3 linked regions of the Lonchura striata genome follow. The protein of the gene in region 2 binds, or shares a complex with, the protein of the main gene of each other region. Links are inferred from orthologs where the notes say so. Each region holds a gene or a part of one and is shown on either strand. Other genes may lie near its edges.

Region 1 (8,044 bases), about 1.3 Mb from region 2:
TGTAAAGCCAATTTCTCCTGTCAGCTCTGCCCGTAGATCTCTGCTGTGTGAGAGCGTGAGGGAATGGTTTGGCATGAGCACAAAATCATTGGGCGTATTGTCCAATTGTTTTATACTTACTCAAGCTTGAATTGCCCAAATTACTGTTTGTACTTCTCATCTCTTTTGTGTCAATTAATTATGTCATGTTTGAGCTCACTTCAGCTGGCAATATGTATGGACGTTTATTCTGTGCATTTTAGTCAGGTTGTTAAAATTAAAATCCTTGGGCTGGGAGAACATTGGAAGAGTATCTTACCTGTTCCCAGGAATAACCTTTTCTTTTGGTTTTACTTTTGGTTTTTTTTTGGGTTGGTTTTATTTTTTTTTTTAATTTTTCTGTTTATTTCACAGTATAAATCTGAGAATATTCTTGGAGCCCCAAAGTTGCTTTTGTGATTAAAAAATACTTTTTTTCTCATCTGGGTTTAAATGAATCTTGAGAATGAAATGTTCTTCAGATTTTATTTCTATAGGTTCTCAATGATTTGTCTTTTAATCATCAAATTCTATTTATATTTAATGTCTATTTTAGGGTCATCTGACTCACATATCCTCTCACATTTGGTTTACTCAATAGAGAATCTCTAGATGGCAATGTATTTTTCAATTTCTTTTATTACATGCTTTTCTTTCTCTTTTATTTCCCTAGAAAACTGTCACTTGCATGTATGTTGTTATAATTGCACACCAGAAAACATTTACATTAGATGTAAATATAGTTACTTTTTTACAGACGCTGAACCCTAAATGGAATGAAGAGTTTTACTTCAGAGTAAGTTTCTCTTTATTTGTGGTCATTATTAGAACATGTACAGCTAATGTTATTTTCTATTTGTATGTTTACTCCAGAGACCTGCTTGCCCTGATGTACTTGCTGTTGTGTTTCTGAGGGGATGGAATGCTCAGCAGGAATTGGCTTGCAGGTTCCTTAGAAACTGTTTCCCAACCTGCAATTATATAATTGTGAAGGGCAGTCACTTTGCTACTCGGTTGCATACAACGTTCTTCCAAGGAATAGTTGACTTGTGACCTGTAGTGCAGCTGTAGCTGTACAAAAGCGGGTCAGGTAGGATTGCAGGGGTTTCAAACATTACCCTCGAGCAGTGCCTGAGGGCTGGTGTGGCAGATGGGAGCTCTGGGACAGCAGTGCCACCAGTGGAATGTTCCATGCACAGGCCTCACTGCCGTGGGGAGTGCTTACTGGGACACCTGCACCAAACAGCTTTTCTGGGGTTTGCAGCTGAGATCTAGAGTCTTAGGAAAAGGGAGTGCACAACCCTGCTGCAAAACCTCTGGTGTAGTTCACAAATGCTCTGTTAAAACATCTTGAGTGTCCTCAGCAATAACGGGACCTGTAAAGTAATTTAGACACTATTTTGTGTGTCACAGTTCTCTGATTTTCTCAAAACTGGGAAGTCCATCTCCAGCCCACAGAATTGTTGTATACTATTTCTAAATTTTCTTAATTCAATATGCTGGTCGTAGTAACCCAGCTTGTAAAGCTTCTCTGAAAAAATATATCAACTGGATCAAATGCTATAAAACTTGCTTAATAGCAGCTGTTTTGTCTTTCTGACAGAGTTCTTTTTATGTTTGATTTTGACCTTTTAAATGTTGGCAGTCTTTCTGCTTCAGTTTAAGTAAATAATTTTCTGGAGGTATATTTGCTGTTCAGGTGTTGGGGAGATTTCTGCTGGTTGTTCCAAGGATGTGAGTAATAAATGGGCTAGAGATGATGAGCAGTGGACAGTCAGAAACATATCTGAAGGTGAAATTCTGAAGGAAATGCAGCAAAATTCTTGCTCCTCATAAATCAGTCAGGGAGCCTTGATATTCTGTCCAGCCTGGGACTAGGGTCCTCTGCCATGGGAATGCAGGTAAAAGCTTTCATGTCAACTGCCATGCTCTTCCCAGTTGCAGTAAGGTTCTGGTGCTCCAGTTCAAGTAAAGATTTACATCAGACCTGTTAGTCCTGTCCTGTTTGCCTTGATTGCTGCCTGAGCTAGTACCCAGGTTGTTATTGTCCAGCTACTGAACTTGCAGTGACATTTGGATTTTCTCACAGGTAAACCCAACTAACCATCGGCTGCTGTTCGAGGTGTTTGATGAAAACAGACTGGTGAGTGCTTGTCTTGGTTATGTTCTGCTAATCACGAGGCTCCGTGTGCCCCAGCTGATAGAAATACAACACAGCTCAAAGGTGTCTTCGGACGGTTGTTTCAGTGAGCGTGCCAAGAAACACAAATAGAGGTGTAAAAACCATTTGAGTCTGGGACTGAAAGGGCACTAAAGTAGTGCCTTTCTGAGTCGGACCAAGATGGTCCTCCTCACCCTCACTCTGGCCTTCTCAGGCCTCTCCACTTCAAACCAATAAAGTCCTGACCTTTTCAGTTGCTGATAAAGGAACTGCTTTATCATTTTAGTGTCCCTTTCCAGTCCTTTAGTGCTTCTGCATCTTGCCTGGGGAGGTGGTTACCAGAGCTGCATCTTATGCGCACAGTGCATGCGTGAAGGTTTAAGGTCATGGCAGAATGGTGGGTTTCATCTCTGCCTCACAACGCTCACATGTTGTTAGTGGTTTCGTCTTTCCCTGCCTTTGGCTGATGCAGTAGCTTTTCAGGAGGAGGCTTTCACCATTGACTGCTGCTAGCTTCTGGAATAGTTTTATCCGTGGGAAAAGTGTCAGTATCCCTCTGTACATCTGGGGTTAAACGTGCCAGTGCGGTGGCACACTGGTGGATGGCTCTTGGGGGTTTGCCTTTTGAACATTGTAACACCAGCTCTGTTCATGAGATCAGGAATTCACATTTTCTGGGGTGGAGAAACTTGTTTGCTTGCTGAAGATAAAAAAAGACTGTAAAAGCATCTGTCTTCAACAAATAGGTTCTTTCCTTCTATCTTCCTCATAAATAAAGAGCAAAGGAAACCACAGAAGCTGTAATCTGGGGAGAAAAAGGACTTGGCAGCTGAATGACTGGATCTTTTCTCAGGAGGAAGTAAATTGGTGAACCGGTGGCACTGTGCCTCTACAGTGGCTGACCAGGAGCATATTTATTTTGTATATAATGGTTATAATGCCCACTTGCACTATTAAAACTGCCATGCGCCATTGGAATGCGAAGGTGCCACAGGAACAGGGAGGTCGGGTTAGAGAAAAAGCTTCTATGCATTGACAGCTGGGAAATTACAGGTTTGGGATACTTATTTCAGACATACTGCTTTGGATTTTCGAGTTTGGGTGTGCAATACCGGCCGTACTGTGGCAGTTTCAGCACTTTTTATTGTTGAAGTAGTTTGTGTGTATTCTCCTTCTGTTCTGCCTCCAAACTCAGTCTGTCCTTGGCCTTGGAACTTCCTGGCCAAAGCAGCACCTGGGGTTAGGAAGCATGGCTTTCCTTGCAGAAGGTCTGTGGCAAGCTGACTGCTTCGGGGGGTTTGGAATAGCAAGTTTCTATCAGGTTGTGTTTATAGAGTGAGGAGACGCTGAGCTGATACTTTTGGCTTTACTCTCACATACTTATTGTCAATATTTAAATGGCTTTTGTTGGAAGGACTTTGTTTCTTCTTGTTCCCAAATTACCAAAGCACACTCTGTCTTAGCAGGTGTCTTTGCCTTTCTCTTCCCCAGTCTCAACAGAGTAAATGTGATGCAGCCTCCTTTTGGATGCAGAGACCGTGTTATTGAGTAACATGTTTTAGCTGAAAAAAAAGATAAAATAATACCAACACCTGTGCTTCTATGATGCAATCTCCAGGACCATTGCTGTGTGGAAGCTGTTCACATTTTTGTTGCGTTTCATAACCCACATAAAAAATTGTGGGATTGTGCTGGTTGCTGGCAGTTTGATCAATTTGAGCTGCCGTTGCTCTTGGGATTGGTAGTTTTGTGGCTTTTGAAAGCAAGCTGCTTGTAAGCAGAGTTCAGATGTCTCAGCAGAGGACTGACCCGCCACATACAGGTTTTCAGAGCTTTTGACAAGATTTAGGCTTTCTAGTTCTCGCAGGGAGCAGCTGTCCAGGCCCTGAGATGGAGCTGCCTTCTGGTTAACCAGAGTTTTTCTGGTATGTGCTAAGAAGTGCGAGTGCCCTCAGGGCACTGAGTATCTTTGTTGTAGCAGAGCTGATTTAAGGTGGTTGGTGCACGTTCTAGTGTATCCTGTCTGCCTGTCCTTCTCCTGAGCTCTTCTGGCTCTCGGAGTGTAACTGTACTCTGTGCTGGCAGTGCCACGCGTGGTGGCATTGCTGACTCCCTCGCTGGAGGCCAGCCAGGAGCAGGCAGTTCTGTGCAGGGGCTGGGACAAATCAGTGCAAACAGACATGCAACACCCAGCTCTGCTTTTCCCTCACCTGTACTGCCTGGCAGATCTGGAAAAGGAGCTTTCTGACTTGCTGTCCTGCACATTTCTACTGGTTTTACTGTGTGAGAGATCTTTGCCATACGTATGATTGCTTTGTTGGTAATTTGTAGTTGCTCAAAGGGAACTGCAGGTTATATTGCTGCTGGGGCTTTTTAAAGTCAAAAGTTTGTTGCTTAATTTTGTTATGAGCACGGTTAAAATTTTAAGTGTAACCATGTTGTATTTATTCCTGTTCTGCCATGACAGCTCAGAGCTGTAACACACTAAAATGTTGTGCTTGAAAGAATTTTCCTCATTTGCATGTGGTGTTGATTTAAGCTTTTAACACAAAATGGAAGCATTTTGTTGTAGTTAGAGTTTTCTGCAAGTGCTTTCTCCCAAGTGTGCCCTGTGAATCTGATGTGGTTTAGATTTATAGCAGTGCCGAGTGTATTCGCTGCCTCAGTCAGCTGCGAGAGCTCTCCCTCTGGGGCCGCTCCTCCCTGATGGAAAAGGAGCAGCTGGGAAGGTGCTGTTTCAGGCTCTTGCTGGCATTAAAAAAAAAAAAAAAAAAAAAAAGGAAAAAACAAACTCCTCACACACTTACATTGGAGAGGGGGAACCAGGCCACGTGACTCCCACCATCCTACCCTATGTCACCGTGTGTGTAGGAGCGCTGACTGCTCCTGCCCAATCATGCCTGGAATGCTGCTTGCCACTTGGGCTATTTCTGCTATCTGTCGCTCCCAGGGCTGCAGTGCTAACCGATTGGCAGATGGGACACTTTTTCCTGGAGTTTATGTCTTTGGTTTTTAACTTCTGGCAGTGCCTGAATTGTTGCCGTTCTCCCTCTCCTTTTCTCCTCTCTGTAAAATCATGGCCCATCGGCTGCGGTTTCATTTTGGCTCTGGGAGAAGCAACACAGCCCCCGAATCGGAGAACCTTGCCCGGGAGAGAGAAGATGACTTTTTCATGGCATTCCACACCTTGCCAAGAAGAAGCAGCCCTCACGCGTTCTCGCGGCATGGACCGGATTACGGCGGCGACGGAGATTTGCACGAAGTGGGCTCCTTGAAAAGGAGCACATCCATGTTTATCCCGCAGCTGCTGAACGGCATCGACGCGCGCCCCACCAGGAGCTCGTCCATGCAGATCTCGCTCCAGCGCAAAGCTGCCGACGGCTGCGCCGACGAGTGCGCGGCCCCGGAGCCTCCGGAGGAGACGCTGCCCTGGAAAGTCTCAGACTTCAGGGAGCCGTATGCATCCCCTGTTGAAAAGCGCTCTTCTCCGAGCGCTCTGCAGGTGACTCCTGAAGGTTCTTCACCCGGGCTGACGGAAGAGTTGGGGCAGCAGACAGATGGAACTGTTTGCTGTAACCGTAGAATGTTCTGTAGTACTAATTCTCAGAGCGAGGAGGCTCTGCTGACTGCCCAACGACAAGAAGCGAGTGAAGCGGCTTCAGGTGTAAACATAAGCGGTGTGAGGATTCAGCATCGCGCCTCAAGTGCGGAGGTTCCTCAAGTTACTCTACTTCCCTTTGGTCCTGACGCTCCAAATAGCGCTCCCACCTCTGAGCCCCGGCGCTGGTCCTTGCAGCATGTGCCAGATCTGTCAGCAAATTCAGGGAAAAAGTTCTTTGTTCTCCAGTTACAGCAGCCACAGACAAGCAGTACGGGCGCAGAAGGTGGCAGTAACTTTGGCTTTACCGGAACAAAAGGGGACAGGTTGGTCAGGTACCCTCGGATACGGCTGGAAAGGAGTACTTCCTACCCTGTCCAGCCACCAGCAGAAGGAATTAGCCCCACAGGTGATGGGCTGAATTCGGAGCTGCCTGGAGACAGCAGGAACAGGGCAGGAATACCTCGAAGTGATTCAGTAGAGCGGATGCCTCAAGGGCAGGGATGCTTGTTTAAAATCAGACCAGATCAAAACATGAGGCAGCAGCACTTCAGAATTCTTGTCACGCGTGGGCCGGAAGAACAAAGTCAGGCTGTTGGTAAGGAGGGTCGTGGCACCCCTGGTCCTACGGCAGCCGGCACCGCAGTAAGTATGATGGGCGTGCTGTGCTGTGCTGGTAAAACACGGATTGCCTTACAAAGGCTGCCACACTGGAGCCAACTGCAGCACTTCCATTGTTAGCACTGGAATGTTCTGCGTTTCTTTGGAGCAGGCCACAAATTGTCTTTATTTCTAATCTAATGTAACTTCGCTCTTCGTTATGATTACATCCAGTGTAATATTTTCAGCTCTTACTGTCACGTGTTTCTTAATTCACATTAATTCCAGCTGTTACGTCAGCTGGAAAGATTTTTTAAAATCAGAGCATTCAAATAGCAAATTAAATGTTTCTGTTAGTTTAGTTGGCTGAGGCCTTGCTGCGTAGAGAACTCTTTGTGCACTCTGGTTTTAAAAACAAATACTTTGTCACTTTCTAAGTGTAATGGACACACGTGGACCTCTGCACACTTCTAAAATGTGTATTGTAATGAAATAGTTGCTAAGACTGTGGGAATCTTAGAGTAAGTTTAATCAAAGTACTGGCTTAGTTAAGGTACCAAGAAGTCTGGGGAAAAATAATATTTATTAGTAATTTCTTATACTAATCTTAGAGTAATTTTTCTTTCTTCCTTCTGGAAGTGAAAAACATGTCATGCCTTTTGTATGCTGCAAGTCCTGATCCAAGTCCAAGTGCAAGTGGTTTGACACAACTCAGTAAACAGTCTGTTTGGATTTGCCTTGATTTGGTGTTAGGATGGCAAAATTAATCTTCTGGGTTTGCTTTGTTACAGCAGGCGAGGATTGATGGCTGATGTTTTTCAGCCGCTTTTCCAAAGCCTAAAGTAGGAGCAAACTGAAGGGTTTAGATTAGTCATTTGCTTAAATTGCTTTGCTGTGCAATCCAACACGGCCCACTCAAGTTCCCAGCTCAGGGATGCTCTATTTAGCATTGCGAGCTCTGGCTCCAGCTGTGGCACGGTTGCTGAGGAGATTTCAGGCTCCATGGCTCCTGTGCTCCCAGGCTCTGAAATGCAGCACAGGGACAGCTGCTCCCTGCAGCAAGGCCAGGAGTGACTCTGCAGCTTTCCCATGGAAAAGCTTATGGACTCGGTGTTTTTCCAACCTTCTTTGGAGCTCTTGAAAGCGTGAAATAGAAAGAAATCCCTCCCTGGTACAGGTTTGGTTCCAGGACATGTAAAGGAGCAGAAAAAAAGTATGTCTTATTTTCCCTTTCCTCTTTGTTATCCCTTGCTCCATTCCAAGATCTGTTGTTCATGGAGACCCACTGCAGCCAGTTCCCTAAGTAGCTGTGGGGTGTCAGACCTAGCACAGAGGCAGCAGAGGTTTGCAGAGATGTGCCCTGGGTCTGTGCAACAGTTCTCATTTTCCTAAAGGATCTCCTCTCAAAGTCCCTGTTTTCATCCCCCCTGTAGTAACAATTCCCACCCCAAAGACTTGCTTCAGTAGTCCCAGAGGAGAACGAGGAAATCTGTTCCTCTGTGCTCTTGGTTTGAGTTACCGTGTTGAATGGATTGAGGCAGCTGTGCAGCATGGCAGGCACAGAGGTGCCCAGCCCACATGGCACTGCATCCTGCAGGGCAGAAACTCTCAAAGGAAAAGAACTAACTGAAACTTAAGCCTTTTTTGTGGTGTTTCTCATCTTTGTA
Region 2 (7,985 bases):
GCATCCTTTTCCAACAGACCAGCCTTGGAATGGCTGCCAGCAGCCAGAAGCACCTGCACTGAAATGGTGATTTTAGCTTGCAGGGCTGTGTGACAGCAGTGAGCACGGGATCCTTGTCTCCCTGTGCCACTCACCACACAGGGAGGTTGCTTGAAGAATGTTTTTCTTTGCAGACCTTGGGTTTCAGCTTTAATCTGCTCTCCTGAAATGAGCTGCTGGAGTGGAAGGAGACTGGCTACAGCCAAAACGGCTTCACAACCCAGACTTTGAGCATTGCTTGAGAGCTCTGCTCTCAAAATAATGCATAAAAATAGAAGCAGGGCCACAAGCTTAGCTATTCCTAATGTGCACAAAAGGATGGGAGAGTGCCAGGAGCCAGCCTGCGCTGCCTCTGCCCCTGCCTTCAGCCTGGCTTGTTCTCTCCTACCTCCCCTGACTGGCTTTTCACTGCTGTGAAAAGGAGAGACATACCCCCAAAAGAGCAAAGTGTGTTTGTTATTGACCCTCGCCTGGAAAGTGTATGAAGAGGGATCAGCTCTGTTTGTTTGTACCCGGTAATGATGTCAGGAAAAGGGCTTTTTTTTTTTTTTTTTTTTTTTTCCCAAGTCTGGTTTTATCCCCTTTGTTGGAAGTGCCTTTGGTGAGTCTCACACCCTGGTGCTGTTAGCAAAACAATTAGGTTAACAGTGCCTTGGCTCCAACTGTCTGTCAAAGGTTGAATTGCAATGCAAATCAACCCGGCTTTAGCTCTTCAAAGCCAGCTGGGTTCAGCAGAGGTCCCCAGAAACCCCCGTGAGAACGGAGGGCTGGGGCTGGGGAGGGTGGGCTCGCCGGGATTTTACATCCAGGACCTAATGTGTTTGGCAGGAGGGATGCAAAACGTTGTGCAAACACATTATACAAATGTAACACATTGTATAAATCCTTTCAACACTCAAAAGGGGCTTAAACCGGGAGAGACTTTTTTAGTAGGGCCTGAAGTGTCAGGACAAGGGTTGATGGTTTTAAACTAAATTAGGGGAGATTCAGACTATGTAGGAAGAAAAAAATCCTTGGCTGTGAGGGTGGGCAGGCCCTGGCACAGGGTGCCCAGAGAAGCTGTGGCTGCCCCTGGATCCCTGGAAGTGTCCCAGGCTGGGTTGGACAGGGCTGGAGCAACCCGGTCTGGTGGAAGGTGTCCCAGCCCTGACAGACGAGGTGGAACAAAATGAGCTTTAAGGTCCCTTCCAGTCTAAACAATTCTTGAATTCTATGACTCAAACATATTTTATTTCTCCTCGGGGATTAACAGTGCCCTTCATGCATTTCAGGACAGGTTTCTGGCCCAGGGTGACATTTGAGCAATGCATCCAGAGCAGGGCAGGCTGTGGGTATCACCCTGCTTTCCAAGCGTCCCCTCGGCCCAGGTCCCCTTCCCAGATTTATCGGCTTCATTATGCTTGTTTCTGTATTTTCCATATGGGCACATACATATGGTCTGTTTAAACAAGTTTTCAGGGTTAATTGGAAAGCAGTTCTTTATCAGTTATTTAATATTTAGCAATTCTGGGGCAATTTCCACTGCAGAGATCACAAAACCAGGCAAGCGCTGATGGCCCAGCTGTACCTGTGGGAAATCAGAGGTGCCAAAGCCCGGGTCCCTACTCACAGGGAAAGGCAGGTGTCCCAGGTCACCTGGAGAACCTACGGCAGGGACAAAAAATTATATTAACTCCTGGACCCCATTCCTGTCCTCCACCTCCTCACATCACACAGCATACTGTACTTTTTGTTGCTTCCTTCATGACAAAAGTAATTGTAGCTGTCAGTGATGAGGCAAGTGGAGCTGCAATGGAGAAAATTTAAAAAAGGAGATTTTAATCTCATTTATAATAGCCTGGCAAGTTTTGAAAAATTAAAAAGTATAACGTATGGATTAATGAATGTGTCCAACATGTCTTTCACCAGCAAATATTGGAATGAGAAGGAACTCTTTTTTCCCCCCTCCTGATTTTCTATATTCATCACAGGGAAAAGAAATTGAGGTTCTCTGAGGAAGTGAGGAAATCAGTTTCAGTGTATGTGAGGTCACTCCAGAGGCTGTAGGACAAAGTGTTGAACTAAAAATATTACCCAATTTCCATTTTTCAGGGTGCAGAAGGCATAATTTTAAAAGCAATGGGACTTTTTTTGCAGGTACAGACCCAAATGCTGGTGCTATTATGATTTACCCCAAGTTATCACCTAAAGACTGTAGAGCTGCGCCCTGGACTCCGCTCCCACCTTTAATTACTTGGAGGTGAAGGAAGGAGCCAAATTGCCTTCCTCAAACTCCAGCTTTGTAACAAAGCTTCCTAAATTATTCTTTCTGATGCCAGCAAATAACATTCTTTCCTCCCCAGTGTTTTTTCAACTATTTATCTGCATTTTGAGCAGATTTTGTACCTGGCTAGGTGTAGTGTTGTTAACATTTAACAAGGCTACGCCCAAATCTAGCCACTTTGTGACTAATTTAGGTGCAGATTCCTCAAATGCCAGGCCCGTTTGTGGCATCCCCGACCTGCTCATGTGAATATATGCGCAACTGGGTGCTTAAATTATCCCTGCCCTCCTGCCCACCCCAAATTTAGGGATCCAGAAGATACACCCCAGGGATGCCCTGCCTGCACGGGACGTTGGTTTTATATGTGCTCTACCCAGCGTCACATTTAGTTGGGTGCAACATTTGTTTTGGATGTCTTTGCCTTTGGATTTGAGCTCGACTTGGTTACAGCAGCCATGATTTAGGAGTCCCAGCTCCTACTTCCGACACGATAACTGCCTCGGAGAGTGACCTTAAAGCAACCCATCCGCCCGCAGTTATTCTGTGAAAAAGGAGCTGCTCCTCCGTGGGAGTGCGTGCAGGACGGGGACCCCTGGGGACTTCTGCTGCCCTGCCAAGCCTGGCGCTAGGAAGTCTGGCCGGACTTCCCAGCCCGGCCGCAGGGCGCAGCAAGGCTGGACGAGAGCGCAGCCTCTTGGTGGCTCAGCTTTCCTCACCCTCTGCCGGTCCAGAATTGGAATGGGGGAAATCTGTGGAGCGCCCAGGGTGCCAGGGGTTGTTACCGCTTAGTAGCACCCGTAACGCGAATACCGGAGTGCTACTCGCCCGTCATTGCTGCTTCGTGTTTGGAATCGGAGCGTACCGAGCCTCCATGGTGTATTTTCCTGTCCTCCTGGTGACAGGTGCTGTAGCAGCACAAATTATTATTATTATTACTATCATCATCATCATCATTATTATGACTGCTTTTTGTGATGCGCCCTCGTTCTATACCCAGAGCCATATCGATTTTTTTTTTTAAATTTTTTACGCTGATTTGGTTTAATATTCCAATGTTTACAGCGAGCACCGGCACACCCCAGTCCCGGGAGCTCCCCACGCTGTGCCCCGCGGGGTGCGGGGGGGACACCCCAGTCTCCCCGCACCCCCCACCCAGGAGCAGGTACGAAGGGAAGCATCGGGAGCGGGGCGCGGCGGCGGTGGGGTGAGCCGGGGAGGGGACGCACGGACCCACAACCTCTCCGCAACCCGAGCCGCCTCTTGCGCAAGGCGGTTGGAGATAAATATAATATATAGATATATTTATTTATTTTTTTTTTTCCCCCGGAGCGACACGGTGTCTAGACGCCCACGTGACGGGGCCGGGCCGGGCCGGGCCGGGCCGCTGCGCACTGCGAAGCCGCCGCCGGTGCGGGGGGGCCGGGCGAGGGCGCAGGCACCGCGCCGGCTCCGCTCCCGCCCCGCGCCGCCGCCGCCGGGGGAAGGCGGAGGTGCGGGGAGGGCGGCTGACTGCGGAGAGCGGAGGGGCGGGAGGGGTGGGGGGGAAAGGGGGAGGAAAAAAAAAAAAAAAACCCCACGAAAGGAGGAGGAGAAGTAGGAGGAGGAGGAGGAGGGGAAGGAAGGCAGGAAGGAGGAGTGAAGAGCAAAAAAAAGGCACCGCGGCAGAGGCGCCGGCAGCAGGGAGAGGGTCGGCGGCCGGCGGGCACCCCCGCACCCATGTAAGCTCCGCCGGGAGCGGCGGGCCCGGCTCGGCCCGGCGCGGCTGCTGGGGAAGGCAGGAAGGAAGGGACGTAGCCCCACTTTTCTCCTTTTTTATTATTTTTTTATTTTTTTATTTCCTTTCTTTCTCTTCGTAGCAGCCGGATCAAGACTCCGTGTGGATTAAACCTTTGGAAAGAAGGAGGGGAAAAAAAAATAAAAGCCCACCCCGAAACCCCCACATCAGGACGACCTGGGCTTTTTAAAAGGGATACAACACTCTGGATGCGCTCGTTCGCCTCTTTTGTGACAGATGCTTAAACCGACGTCCAAACCTTAGGGTTGGTGTTTTGGGGCTCTTTTTTTTTTTTTTTTTTTAACATTTTTTTTAATAGCCTTTTTGGCTCGCTCTTTTTGTTTTTGCCTGCTGGCTCTGCCCTGCGCCGCATCCCTGCCGCCGCGCCCGCTCCCCGGCGTGGCGGGTTGATGGGCGCCGCGGCCCCGGGGCGGCCGAGGCTCCCCCGCGGCTCGGGCCGCGCTCCGCACCCGCGCACGGCGGCGCGGCGCCGGCAGCCCCCGCCCGCCTGCCCCCGCGACGAGCGCCGCGGGCTCTAGACGGGGATTTTTTTTTTTTTTTTGGTTTTTCCTTGCTTTTTTGGGCAAAGCCGGAGCAAGCGGCGACTCTCTCCCTTCCCTTCCCCCAACCTTTATTTTACCCCTCCTTTTTTTTTTTTTTTCCTTCTCAGTTTTGAATTTTTTTTTTTTTTTCTTTTCAATTCGATTTTTCTGTAAATTTTCTCGCAGCGGGCGGAGGCGCGGCCGGCGCATCCCCCCGCGGGAGGCGGCGGGACCCGCGGCCCCAGCGCGGAGACTGGCGCATGCCACAGCCCGCCTCGGCTCCGCTGCCCCCCGCCGCTGCCCCCCGCCGCCGCCGCATCCCGCCTGCCGGCCCCTTCATGCTCGGCGGACGACATGCCCGTTTTGTAGCCGGGGGCCCCTCCTCTCGTCCCGCATGTTCAGGACCAAACGCTCGGTGCTCGTCCGGCGGCTCTGGCGGAGCCGCGCGCCCGGCGGCGAGGAGGAGGAGGAGGCGGCGGCGGGCGAGCCCGGCGCGGCGGCGGCGGTGGCCGAGCCCCGGGCGCACTTGGGCGGGGGGCGCGGGTGCTGCCCGGGCAAGGCGGGCCGCGGCGGGCGGGCGGCGGCGGGCGCGGAGGCGGAACTGAAGGCGCTGACCCACGCCGTGCTGAAGCGGCTGAAGGAGCGGCAGCTGGAGGGGCTGCTGCACGCCGTGGAGTCCCGCGGCGGGGCGCGGACCCCCTGCCTGCTGCTGCCCGCCAAGGCCGACTCTCGGCTGGGACAGCACTGGTACCCGCTGCCCGTGCTGCTCTGCAAGGTGTTCCGCTGGCCCGACCTCCGCCACTGCTCCGAAGTGAAGCGGCTATGTTGCTGTGAATCCTACGGCAAGGCTCACTCCGAGCTCGTCTGCTGCAACCCGCACCACCTCAGCCGGCTCTGCGAGCTAGGTACGGCGGTGGGGATGGCGGCGGATGCGGGGGCTGAAGGGGTTAGAGGTGTGTAGGGCTTGGAGGGATGTAGGAATATAGGGGAATAGAGGTCACACGAGGTTGTAGGGGATTCAGGGGTGCAGGGGCTGGAGGGCATGCAAGAGATGGAGGAGGTGCAGCGGCGCGGGGGCTGGAGGTGTGCAAGGGATGGACGGGATACAGGGATGTGGGGAATGGAGAGGCTGGGGTGCAGGGGATGGAGAGGATGCAGGAGTGCAGGGGCTAGGGATGATCCAGGGGCTGGAGGTATGTAGGGGTTGGAGGGCATGCAGGGGATGCATGTATGGAGGGGATACAGAAATACGTGGATCCAGCCCCACTCACCTCCCGGCCCACAAAACTTTTTTTTCCCCCTTCTGGAGGGGAAAAAAACCCCAACAAACAACAAACCAAAATCAACCCACAACAAACAACAAAACCCAGAACACGCACAAAATCTTTCAGTTGCCGTGGTTTATGCATTTCATTTTGTATTTAGGGGAGGGGGCGACGCCCCCACCTCCGGGACCCCCTCCCCTCCCGGGGGCCCCGGCGCTGCCTCCCCGCCGTCCCCGCGCGGTGCCGGGGGATTAAGGGCCGGGCGGCCCCGGCGCTGCCGCGGCTCCGCCGAGCCAAGGAGGCCCCGATCAGACAGCCCGAGCGGCAGATAGCAGGGAGACTGGCGCCAGACGGCCCCTTTTGTTTATCTGACAGCTAAATATCAAGGCAATCACCGCCTCGCTGCCCTGCCTCCAACCCCCAGAGCTAAGACAAACAGTTTTGCTAAAAGAATGCCACTGTTATCATAAGTTCCTATCTTTTTTCTTTTTTTTTTTTTTTCTTTCTCATGGCTCTGCCTTTATTTTCTCTGTACTTCTCTAATTCCAGAGTCTCCCCCTCCACCCTACTCCAGATATCCAATGGATTTTCTCAAACCAACTGGTAAGTGGATTTTTTTCAATGCAAGTGTAAGAGATAAAAAATGGCAAAATAGTTCCTTTATCGGGGAAACAGCCTCCTGCCTTTGTCATGCATTTTGCTTTTGGGTTGCTTGTGTGCCGTGCCTCCTGCTACCCCTATAACAATTAGCATATAATTTGTCTAAGCCACCTTGTGCACAAAGTAGGGGTTTAAAACTATGGCAGTAAACTTCAGAAGGGATTGCAGCACAGTGCAGGCCTGTGCTGCTTGAATCAGCCAGGAAAACCATAGGCTCCAGTTGGAAATGGCAGTGCTTCTTCACCCCTGGGTGAATTTTTAGGGATTTAGGCTGGGATCCAGCACAGCATCTCCCTGATGCCTGGGAATCCCAGTGAACCTTGACAGATGGACTGGTTGGTTAAAAATCTCTCTAAGTTTTATAGAAGCCTAATACTACATCATCTTGGAAAAAAAAAAAAAAACCGGGAAAAGAGTTTGAAATGTTGTTTTTTTAACCTTTTTAAAATTTAAATTTCTTAGCACTGCTGTGCATGCCTGTCGCTTGTAATTGAATGTCAGGGTGCCAGGGGAGAAGCCCATTTGAGGCTGGCACCAGCTCTTTTGCGGTTGTCTGCATAAACTCTTGGTTGGCAGCGAGCTCGCTGGGTGTGAGATAAATGAGGCTGGGAGAAGGAGGAGAGGTGGGGAGAGTCGGAAACGTGGGGAGCTCGGGAGGAGCAGCTCCTGGCTTCCTGAGGATTAGTGGCTCTGGAGTGGGCTGGAGCACGGTGGTCTCTGCGGTCGCGTCCCGCGGTCGTGGCAGACAGGGGAGGCACGGCACTGCAGGGTGGCAAGGGTAGATACACAGATATTTCTGAAGAAAAGCATCAGAGTGTTTGGTTGGGGTTTTTTGGCCAAAAGAACAGTGCCTGTGAAATCACCTCTCTGCAGGGTCTCAGGGCTAAAAGAAACCCCAGCCTTGAGGCTGCTCTGGTGTGGTGGTGGGGTCTCATCCTGCCAACTGCTCCCCAGAGGCTGGACTGTTGTTTTCCCCCTCAGCAAACTCTTTGGGAACACTAAGGAGTCTTTTTTTGCCTTGTGAAAATAAAGAAAGCTGTTTAACAAACAATTGGGTTGCAAAGCATGAACTATCTTGACTTGTGAAAAAACCAGGAGATAAGGGCTGGTGAATGCAAGAGGGACATCGGAAGTAGGTTCAGCATCCACAGCATGTGCTGGGATGCAGAAGTGTTGTTCTGCAATAGACTCTGAGGGTCTGCTGGGTTCTTTTTGTGGGTTTTGCATAACTGTGGCTGCATCCCTGCAGTTCTCCCCCAAAAGTTCCTATTTTTTTTGCCTTTATGGCTTTTCTCTGCACTCATTGATGATCCTGGCATGGGATGCAAAGGGGGTTTGGAGCTGGAGGAGACAAGGGTTAAAGCTTGGTTTTGCTTTCCTATAAAGATGTTAGGATAAAATCTATTTGCAGGATTTAAACATCCAATCTGCCTCTGCCAGGA
Region 3 (7,710 bases), on a different chromosome or scaffold from region 2:
TGTGCTGGCAATTCTGCCACTGCTGCGCTGCCCTGATGGCAGCACAGATAGGAAGAGACCATAGATTTAACAGAAAGTTTTCTCTTACTTTGCCTAAAACTGTCTGGCTCTTGCATCACCAGCTGGGGTAAAGGCTTTAGTGAAAAGGAGAGGAGAAACTGAGATATGACAGGAGATTAGCATATTTGAGATCAACAGGCCACAAAGCCATTTTAACCTGTCATGCAACTCATTGTTACATTGAGGTTTTTAGTATTTCTGCACAGGGTGCATTATTTGCCATTTTACTTCATTACAATTTGCATCAGGCTAGGACTGACATCCTTACACATTCTGTATAAGCTGGGAGACCACTTCTGCTAATCATCAGCAGATTGAGAACTTTTGCTTATATTCACATAAATAACCCCAACACTCCGCTACTGTAAATACCTTTAGAACAAATGAGGAAAAAATTATGATTAAAAAAAATCACAGAAGATTTAACCACTGTTCCCTTGCCATTCACCCAATGACACTGACAGGCATACTAAGTGGTATTTACACTGCTATTTTCACTGCAAAACTTCAACGGTGCCTAATCACAGGAAACACAATGCAGGTAGTAAATCATAACAAACGAGGTCCTCTGTCTTGATTTAAATGTGCTCAAATCTCCCAAGAGCCGAGGAGATGAGAAAACAACAGCCAGGCTGGCTGCAGCTATTTGAGACAGGTAAGTCAGCACCCCAGTCCCAGCCAAGAACTCAGCATTGCCCAACGATTCCAGAACTAAACTTCTCCCAGAGCAATTTATTTGTTGATTAAATACAGCAGTTTTTGTCACATCACCCAGGTTTCCTGCTTGTAAAAATAGAAGATGTGTTTGAGTAAGGAGGAGATTTCTTCGATGCAGTTAAAAATGGGGAGTAATAAAAAATAAATCTACCAAGTTGCTCAATGAACTGAAACTTCAGTCTGTTCCAGGAAACATTCCCAGCCCAGAGAGAAGACTAGTGTATGCTAAAAGTAAAAAAGCATTTTGCTGCAGCATTCAGCCTTTAAAATTAAACTCAACAGCTTCTCTCTGTTATTTAAATTATCTCCTCCAGCTCAGAAGGGCTATGACCATGGCCTAAGTTACTTAACTCACATTTTTATTGACTGACTTGCATAAAAATAAGCCACATTAAGGACTGAGCTGACATTTGGTATACATCACCACAAAACTCATTTCAGATCAAACATCATTCATACAACCTAAAAATATTTCCAGCCTTCTCCCATCCAAGAAAGGGATTTTCAGATTTACATTATCCTCACAAACTTTGGTCTTCTGAAGCACAAGCGGTGCAGAATCAAAGGATTAAAAGAACACCAGGATTTTTATTTTTTGATGATCTGCCTCTGAGTGTGTTGTGTGCCAGGAGCAAGTTAACCTGTAAGTGCAGTTTCACCAGCACCGTTTTCTCATTATTTGACAATGTTTTATGCACCCACACACAGAAGATCCCTCTCCAGAGACCAATTCTGGTCACCCAGTGCTGCACTGTGGCTTCTCCAGCCCAACTGACCTCCAAACATCCACTTGTTGCCTTTGAAAGAATGGATTAGACCTTATTTTTTAATAATTCACACAGCAGTCTCAACTTCCCAACAGCTTCTCATTAAAGAAGCAGGCTCGGCTTCGACCAGAGCAGCTTCCAAAAGACTTAATCCAGATCTTTCAGGGTCCAACATAAATTGGTTTATCCATCCATGAACCCTCCAGAGGCCTCACACAGAGGCAGGACAGACACAGTTCTGGGTGTCACCTCCTGCACAGGGAAGGAACTTCCAAAGGTGAATGCCACAATGTGCCAGGTAAAAACAAGCTGAGAGGAAGGAAGCAAAATTAAAGAAACACACTAAAAAAAAACAAAACAAAACAAAACAAAAAAAAACAAAACAAAACAAAAAAAAAACTACACAAAACCATCCAGCTAAAAGCAACTAAAAGGGTATTTTCTCATTAGCAACTGAGTTATCCTCTTTGGCACACAGGAGGTTGGGGGGGTTGTTAATTAAAGTGAAGTAAGGCAAATTATGACAGGCTGTGCTGAAAACCAGTGAGTGGGAGAGGTGGCCCTGGGAATCCTGCTGGGAATGGTGAAGAGGAGACCCCAGGGAAGAGCAGCACAGGGATACCCCATGGGAGAGGGAACAGGGAAAATCCTGGGAAAGAGCTGGGAAGGGGGAAAGGTGTCACAAGGATGCCCAGGGCCAGGGAAGGTGCAGAAGAGATCCCAAAATTGGGCAGAATGCAGGGGAGCGTTATCAACAGGGATGTTCCATCGGGAGTGCAGGAGGGACCCATCTAGGGTCAGGGTGCTGGAGGGGTGGTGAGTGCCACATCCATGGGGGAGGGTGCAGGAAAGCCCCCAGGAAGGAGAAGCGTGCCCTGAGCTGCTGGAGAACGAGGGGGACACAGTGACAAACCCCCGCCCTCCTCACATTTATGTCACCCCAAGGGGGCTCAGCCACCTCACGCCGGAGGGGCGGGAAAAAATAGAAATACACAAAAGCGCAGAGAGGCTCTGTCGGGCCACAGAGGGAGAAGCGGAACAGAAAAACGGTGGATAAAAGTTAAGCGAGGCTGGGAGCTCGGGCCCGGCCGGTCCTCCCCTCACAGCCAGGGGAGGGGATGGAGGGGATGGAGGGGAGGGGACCCCGGGCCCAGCCCGGGGTGTGCGGCCACACACACCACACACACACACGCCGCTGCTGCCGCCCCGTTACCTGTGAGGCGGATCTTGATGCTGGATCCGTTCCGGCGGGTACCGGGATTCGACATCGCGCCTGGAGCAGGAGGAGGAGGAGGAGAAGGAGGACGCGGCGGCGGCGCCGAGCTCAACCGGCGGCCCCGCGCAGCCCCGCCATGCGAGCCCGCCCGCTTCTCACGATGCCGGGAATGCCCGGATCCGTGTTCCGGTGGCCGCCGCAGGCTCGGCGCCCTCAGCCGCCGCCTCAGCCCCAGCCGCCGCCGCGCCCGCCCGGCCCGGCCGCGGAGCGCCGTGGCCACGCCCCCGCCACGCCCCCGCGCACGGCGGAGGGCGGTGACGTCAGCGCGCACAGCGGCGCGGCCGCGGCCGGACGCCATGAGGGGAAGGTCGGGCGGGGAAGGTCGGGGTGTGGCGCATGCGCGGGAGGGGTCCGGGGAGCGCCCCCTGGCGAAGGGGAGAGCGCGGGGGAACGGGGAATTCGGGAATGGCGGAACGGGAATGGGGTGGGGGAATAGAGGGGGAATTGGGGAGCAGGGATGGGGTGGGGAAATAGAGGGGGAATTGGGGAGCAGGGATGGGGTGGGGGAATAGGGATGGGGGAATAGAGGGGGAATTAGGGAGTAGGGATGGGGAAATAGGGATGGGGGAATAGAGGGGGAATTGGGGAGCAGGGATGGGGCGAGGAAATAGGGATGGGGTGAGGAAATAGGGATGGGGGAATAGAGGGGGAATTGGGGAGCAGGGATGGGTTGGGATGGGGGAATGGGGAATAGAGGGGGAATTGGGGAGCAGGGATGGGGTGGGGAAATAGGGATGGGGGAATAGAGGGGGAATTAGGGAGTAGGGATGGGGTGAGGAAATAGGGATGGGGGAATAGAGGGGGAATTAGGGAGTAGGGATGGGGAATGGGGAATAGAGCAGGAATTCAGGAATGGGGATGGAGAAATGGGGGGAATAGAGGGGGAATTCGGGAATGGGGGAGTAGAAGGGGAATTGGGGAGTAGGGATGGGGAATAGAGGGGGAATTCAGGAATGGGAGTGGGGAAATGGGGGAATAGAGGGGGGACGGGAAAAGGAATGGGATGGGGAAATGGGGGAATAGGGGGGGAATGGGGGAATAGAGGGAGAACATGGGAAAAGGAATGGGATGGGGGAATAGGGGGGAATTCAGGAATAGGGATGGGGTGGGGGAATGGGGGAATAGAGGGGGAATTCAGGAATAGGGATGGGAAAACAGGGGAATAGAGGGAATGGGGGAAAAGGAATGGAATGGGGGAATAGAGGGGAAATGAGGGAAAAGGAATGGGAGAATAGAGGATAATAATGGGGGAATTGAGCAGAATAAGAGCAGGATGTGGGGGGAAAGGGTGATGGGGGATACCTGAGGAACAGCATAGGGGCAAATAGAGGTGGAATGGGAGGAATTGGGGTGCCTAGGGCTGTCCTGGGATGAAAAGGGACAAATAGGATCCCTTTAGGGATGAATAGGTGATCTCAGGGGTGGAACAGGGGCAACATGCAGGGTAGCAGGAGGGTGACAGGGTGCCTGGGGGTGAATAGGGGCTCTCACAGTGGCATGGAGGATGTATGGGGGGACACAGAGGGAGCACAGGGATGCCTGAAAGTAGCATAGGAATAAAGGAGTCTTAATTTGGGGTAAACACCACTACAGGCGGGGGCAGTGCCTGTTCCATCTCCAGAAAAGGGACAGCACCTTCTCACTGTCTACAACTCCCTGATGGGAGGGTGCCAGGTGGGGAATGGACTCTTCTCCCAAGTGCCAACACAAAGGAAAAAGCCCCAGGTTGTGACAGGGTTAGATGTTCGAAAAGATTTATTGACTGCTCAAGCAGTCCCCACTCCTGAGAATGTTCCAGGGAGCAGAGGTGGCACTAAAGGGGTAGAAGCTGATGGAAGTCAGTGGGAGATTGTGGAGGTCTTTCCCAGCCTCAATGATCCTCCACCTGCTCCTCTGGGGAAGGTTTTAATTAGAAAAACTACTTTTTTTTGTGCATGACAGGAGGGAGGTTGAGCTGCCCTGAGGAAGGACAGCATCATCATGCCCCTTTCACTGGTGTCCCATCCCATCCCCCTGGGAGGAGGGGATGCCTGCACTGCCCCCCAGCTGGAATTGCCCCAGAGCTGCTGCCTGTGCCTGGGGCTGGCAGGGGAGGGCAGCGCCCCAGGCCAGGCAAGCAGCTGCCTGCAGGTCGCTCACACACCCACACAGAGCCTTGGTGATCCCCAGGCACTGGGCCCAGTTCTTCAGCTGCCAGGGGAGACAGCAGGCACGTCCCAACACTCTTTTTAGGAGGGGCATGTTGTCCTGGCCTCTGCCTTCAGGACAATATTTTGTTAAGTTACAGACACAAGGATGGAAAGGAACAGCTCTGGGCCCCTGGCTCTGTGTAACACCACCCACCACAGATTTATGTCCAGCACATGCCAGAAAAAGAAACCAAGATATTTCCTATTTCTCTCTTAATCAGATCATCAGCAAAGAGCAGCCCTGCCTGGGCCATGGGAAAAGCCAACAGGGCTGGTCCACAGAGGACCAAAATCCAAACTCGGGGCAGGCACACAGGCCCTAGCTCTGTGTCTGAGGAAAGAGCTTCCTCACATTCCTTGTGCCCAGGGAGCTGTGGCCATTCCCAGGTGCCCCATCAGCAGTGGGAAGCCCACAGAGCCCAGGCAGCAGCAGCCCTGGCTCAGGTGCATGTTCAGGCAGTGCTGTATCATGTCTAAGTCCATAGTTCTGGATGTAAGAAGCACTTTGCATTTCATCAGATCCCAGTATTTGAATATTAAATAAATGATACTAAGCCCTGTTACCCATAAGCGGGGCTGCCCAGCTCCTCCCAGAGAACACATTTACTACCAACTCCCTTTTCCCTGGGTGGCCTGCAGGAGAAATGCATAAATCCTCTGATGAACAGATCCAGGGAAGAGGAAGAGCCTCTGTTTCCTGAAGAGGAGATTTCCCCTCCAGATTAAGCTGTCACATCACCTCCCACTGCCCCTGAGGCAGCAGAGCCCTGAGCCCACCCAGGGACACTTTGAAGAGCCAAACCCCCAAAGCAGGGAGGGAAAGCTGCTCCCTCACCTTGCCTTCAGCAAAGCCTTTGAGCTGCTTCAAGCTCTGGGTAGCAAAGGATTGGGGAAGGGTCTGCTGGGAACCACCAACACTGCAAGGATGGAGCAGTGGCCAGCAGCTCATTGAGAACCCACAGCACAAAACCTTTGTGCCATGGGCTCAACTCCATCCTCACCTTCTGCTGGAGACCACACTTGGAGGGCTTAGAGAGAAGGAGAACAAGAGCCAGGGACACACCACGGAAACCTGAAATACAGGTCCTTGGAATTAAAGAGCAGAGCCAGATCGATGGGCTGCAGGCTGATGGATGGCAACAGGGAAGCTGCAGCAGAGGTGAATCATTGCCCCTGCACTGCCTCCAACAACCTCCCTTCCAAAGGAGCAGCATCTACTCAGCAGCTCCCACATCCACATCTTCCAGGTGAAGTAACACAGCAAGGCCACTGATCCACCTGGGCCTGGCTCAGCTCCTTTCCCACAGCAATGATGGTGCCTGCAGAAAGGTGAAACATCTCTCAAACAGTTTTTTAGAGCTACTTCAGCCACTCCAAGTCAAGTCTAGAAGTTTCAGAACAAAGATCAGATGGCAGCATGCTGCTCTCCTACAGCTCAGAAGAAAGATCCCACCCAGAAAACTTGATCAGGGGCTCCAAAACACTCCTGCAAGACCTTAAGATGCTACTGGAAAAAAAAAAAACAAAACAAGCCATGTCATTTGCAACAGCAGCTTAAAGAAGGGGGGAAATAATTAAAGGCAAAAGGAACAAAGCCAAAAAGTGCAATTTATTGACAAGTTTCAGAAGTAAAAAGGCTCAACATCTCTACTCCTGACAATTTGGATGTCTGAGCTCTTCCAAAGTACCTCCACCCACCAGTTTAGAGCTGTGTCATGCTTCATCTTCAGAAGTTGAAGTCTTGTTTCTCCACTGAGAAATCATACAGCCCATCTTGGCCAGTCTGGGGCTCCAGGTTTATGCTCTCCTAGGAGGAAAATGACAGAAATTACTTATAGTGTCTGCATTTGAATAAACCTAAGCTTTTTACAGCAACTCTGTTTTATTCTTGCTTTAAAAATCCTGTTAATCTCAGTTTGACTGTAACAGAACTCCTGCTCCTTGCAGCACCCTAAAGCTGCAGTGTCCCTGCAGCCCACACAAAAGCAGCCAAGCCTTTGGGCTCAGACACCAGAAGCAAAAGGAAATAAAAGTGGCTGCAGTGGTAGAGCTCACTGAAATTAAATGGCCTGCTTGGAACAGCAACAAGCCAGGACTGCTCAGGGGGATGTTCCCCTGGAATCCAGCCCCTCCAGCAGGAGCTGGTGTGGAGAATTTCCTCCACAGCCTCTCACAGGGACACCCCACAGACCCTGCTCTGGCAAAGGACTAAACCAGACCTTTGCCCCCTGCTGCAGCTCACACCCAAAGTGAGTTCCAAGGTCTGCCAGGCCTCTGAGCCTCTTCCCTGATGATTTCCCATCTGCAAGTCTAAGGCTGGGACCAAACATGGCTCCTGTGACAGTCACTGGACCCTTGCAGCTCCTAGCTGGTGTCCTATCTTCTTTTTCCATAGATTCTTTACCATGAGAAGGGTCAAGTAATCCAAATGCAACCTGAGCACTGTTATCAGCTGAGTAGGAGGCTGCCATTCATAGTGACAAGCCAGCTCAGCTCTGAAGGAGGAAACCTCTCCACATTTGGTATTCATATCAGTAACTGCAGTAACTCCAGCTGATGCCAGTTTAAATTCCAGCAGCAAGATGCTATCAAGGCATCCATGTCTGCTGCCCAACTCATTGGCTGACAACTCGGAGCTTTTACAGACCTTTAAAAACACCTGAAAGAAGCTGCAAGGACTACTCTGGTCATGTGGAAGTCT

Evidence for each region.
Region 1: the proteins of SMAD7 (region 2) and NEDD4L are in contact, whole or in part, in an NMR structure (PDB 2LTY), measured with the Homo sapiens proteins. The link is inferred for Lonchura striata from reciprocal best matches to the Homo sapiens genes SMAD7 and NEDD4L. Residues at the interface, in NP_005895.1 of Homo sapiens: Glu203, Glu205, Ser206, Pro207, Pro208, Pro209, Tyr211, Ser212, Arg213, Tyr214, Pro215, Asp217; in NP_001138439.1 of Homo sapiens: Arg394, Asp396, Lys398, Arg400, Tyr402, Val404, Asn405, His406, Arg409, Thr410, Thr411, Thr412, Trp413.
Region 3: the proteins of SMAD7 (region 2) and SMURF1 are in contact, whole or in part, in an NMR structure (PDB 2LTX), measured with the Homo sapiens proteins. The link is inferred for Lonchura striata from reciprocal best matches to the Homo sapiens genes SMAD7 and SMURF1. Residues at the interface, in NP_005895.1 of Homo sapiens: Glu203, Glu205, Ser206, Pro207, Pro208, Pro209, Pro210, Tyr211, Ser212, Arg213, Tyr214, Pro215, Asp217; in NP_065162.1 of Homo sapiens: Glu313, Arg315, Ser316, Thr317, Arg321, Tyr323, Val325, Asp326, His327, Arg330, Thr331, Thr332, Phe334, Thr335.

What each region holds. Positions count from the first base shown.
Region 1 is NC_134642.1:459,344-467,387, reverse strand, and holds the start of NEDD4L (E3 ubiquitin-protein ligase NEDD4-like), read left to right. Parts: upstream 1-4,956; 5' UTR 4,957-5,255; coding exon 5,256-6,422; intron 6,423-8,044. UniProt on the Homo sapiens protein: E3 ubiquitin-protein ligase that mediates the polyubiquitination of lysine and cysteine residues on target proteins and is thereby implicated in the regulation of various signaling pathways including autophagy, innate immunity or DNA repair.
Region 2 is NC_134642.1:1,802,930-1,810,914, forward strand, and holds the start of SMAD7 (mothers against decapentaplegic homolog 7), read left to right. Parts: upstream 1-4,927; 5' UTR 4,928-5,012; coding exon 5,013-5,523; intron 5,524-6,432; coding exon 6,433-6,486; intron 6,487-7,985. UniProt on the Homo sapiens protein: Antagonist of signaling by TGF-beta (transforming growth factor) type 1 receptor superfamily members; has been shown to inhibit TGF-beta (Transforming growth factor) and activin signaling by associating with their receptors thus preventing SMAD2 access.
Region 3 is NC_134618.1:14,830,727-14,838,436, forward strand, and holds the start of SMURF1 (E3 ubiquitin-protein ligase SMURF1), read right to left. Parts: upstream 3,003-7,710; 5' UTR 2,813-3,002; coding exon 2,758-2,812; intron 1-2,757. Other genes in the region: KPNA7 (importin subunit alpha-8), read right to left, coding at 6,736-6,816. UniProt on the Homo sapiens protein: E3 ubiquitin-protein ligase that acts as a negative regulator of BMP signaling pathway. Mediates ubiquitination and degradation of SMAD1 and SMAD5, 2 receptor-regulated SMADs specific for the BMP pathway.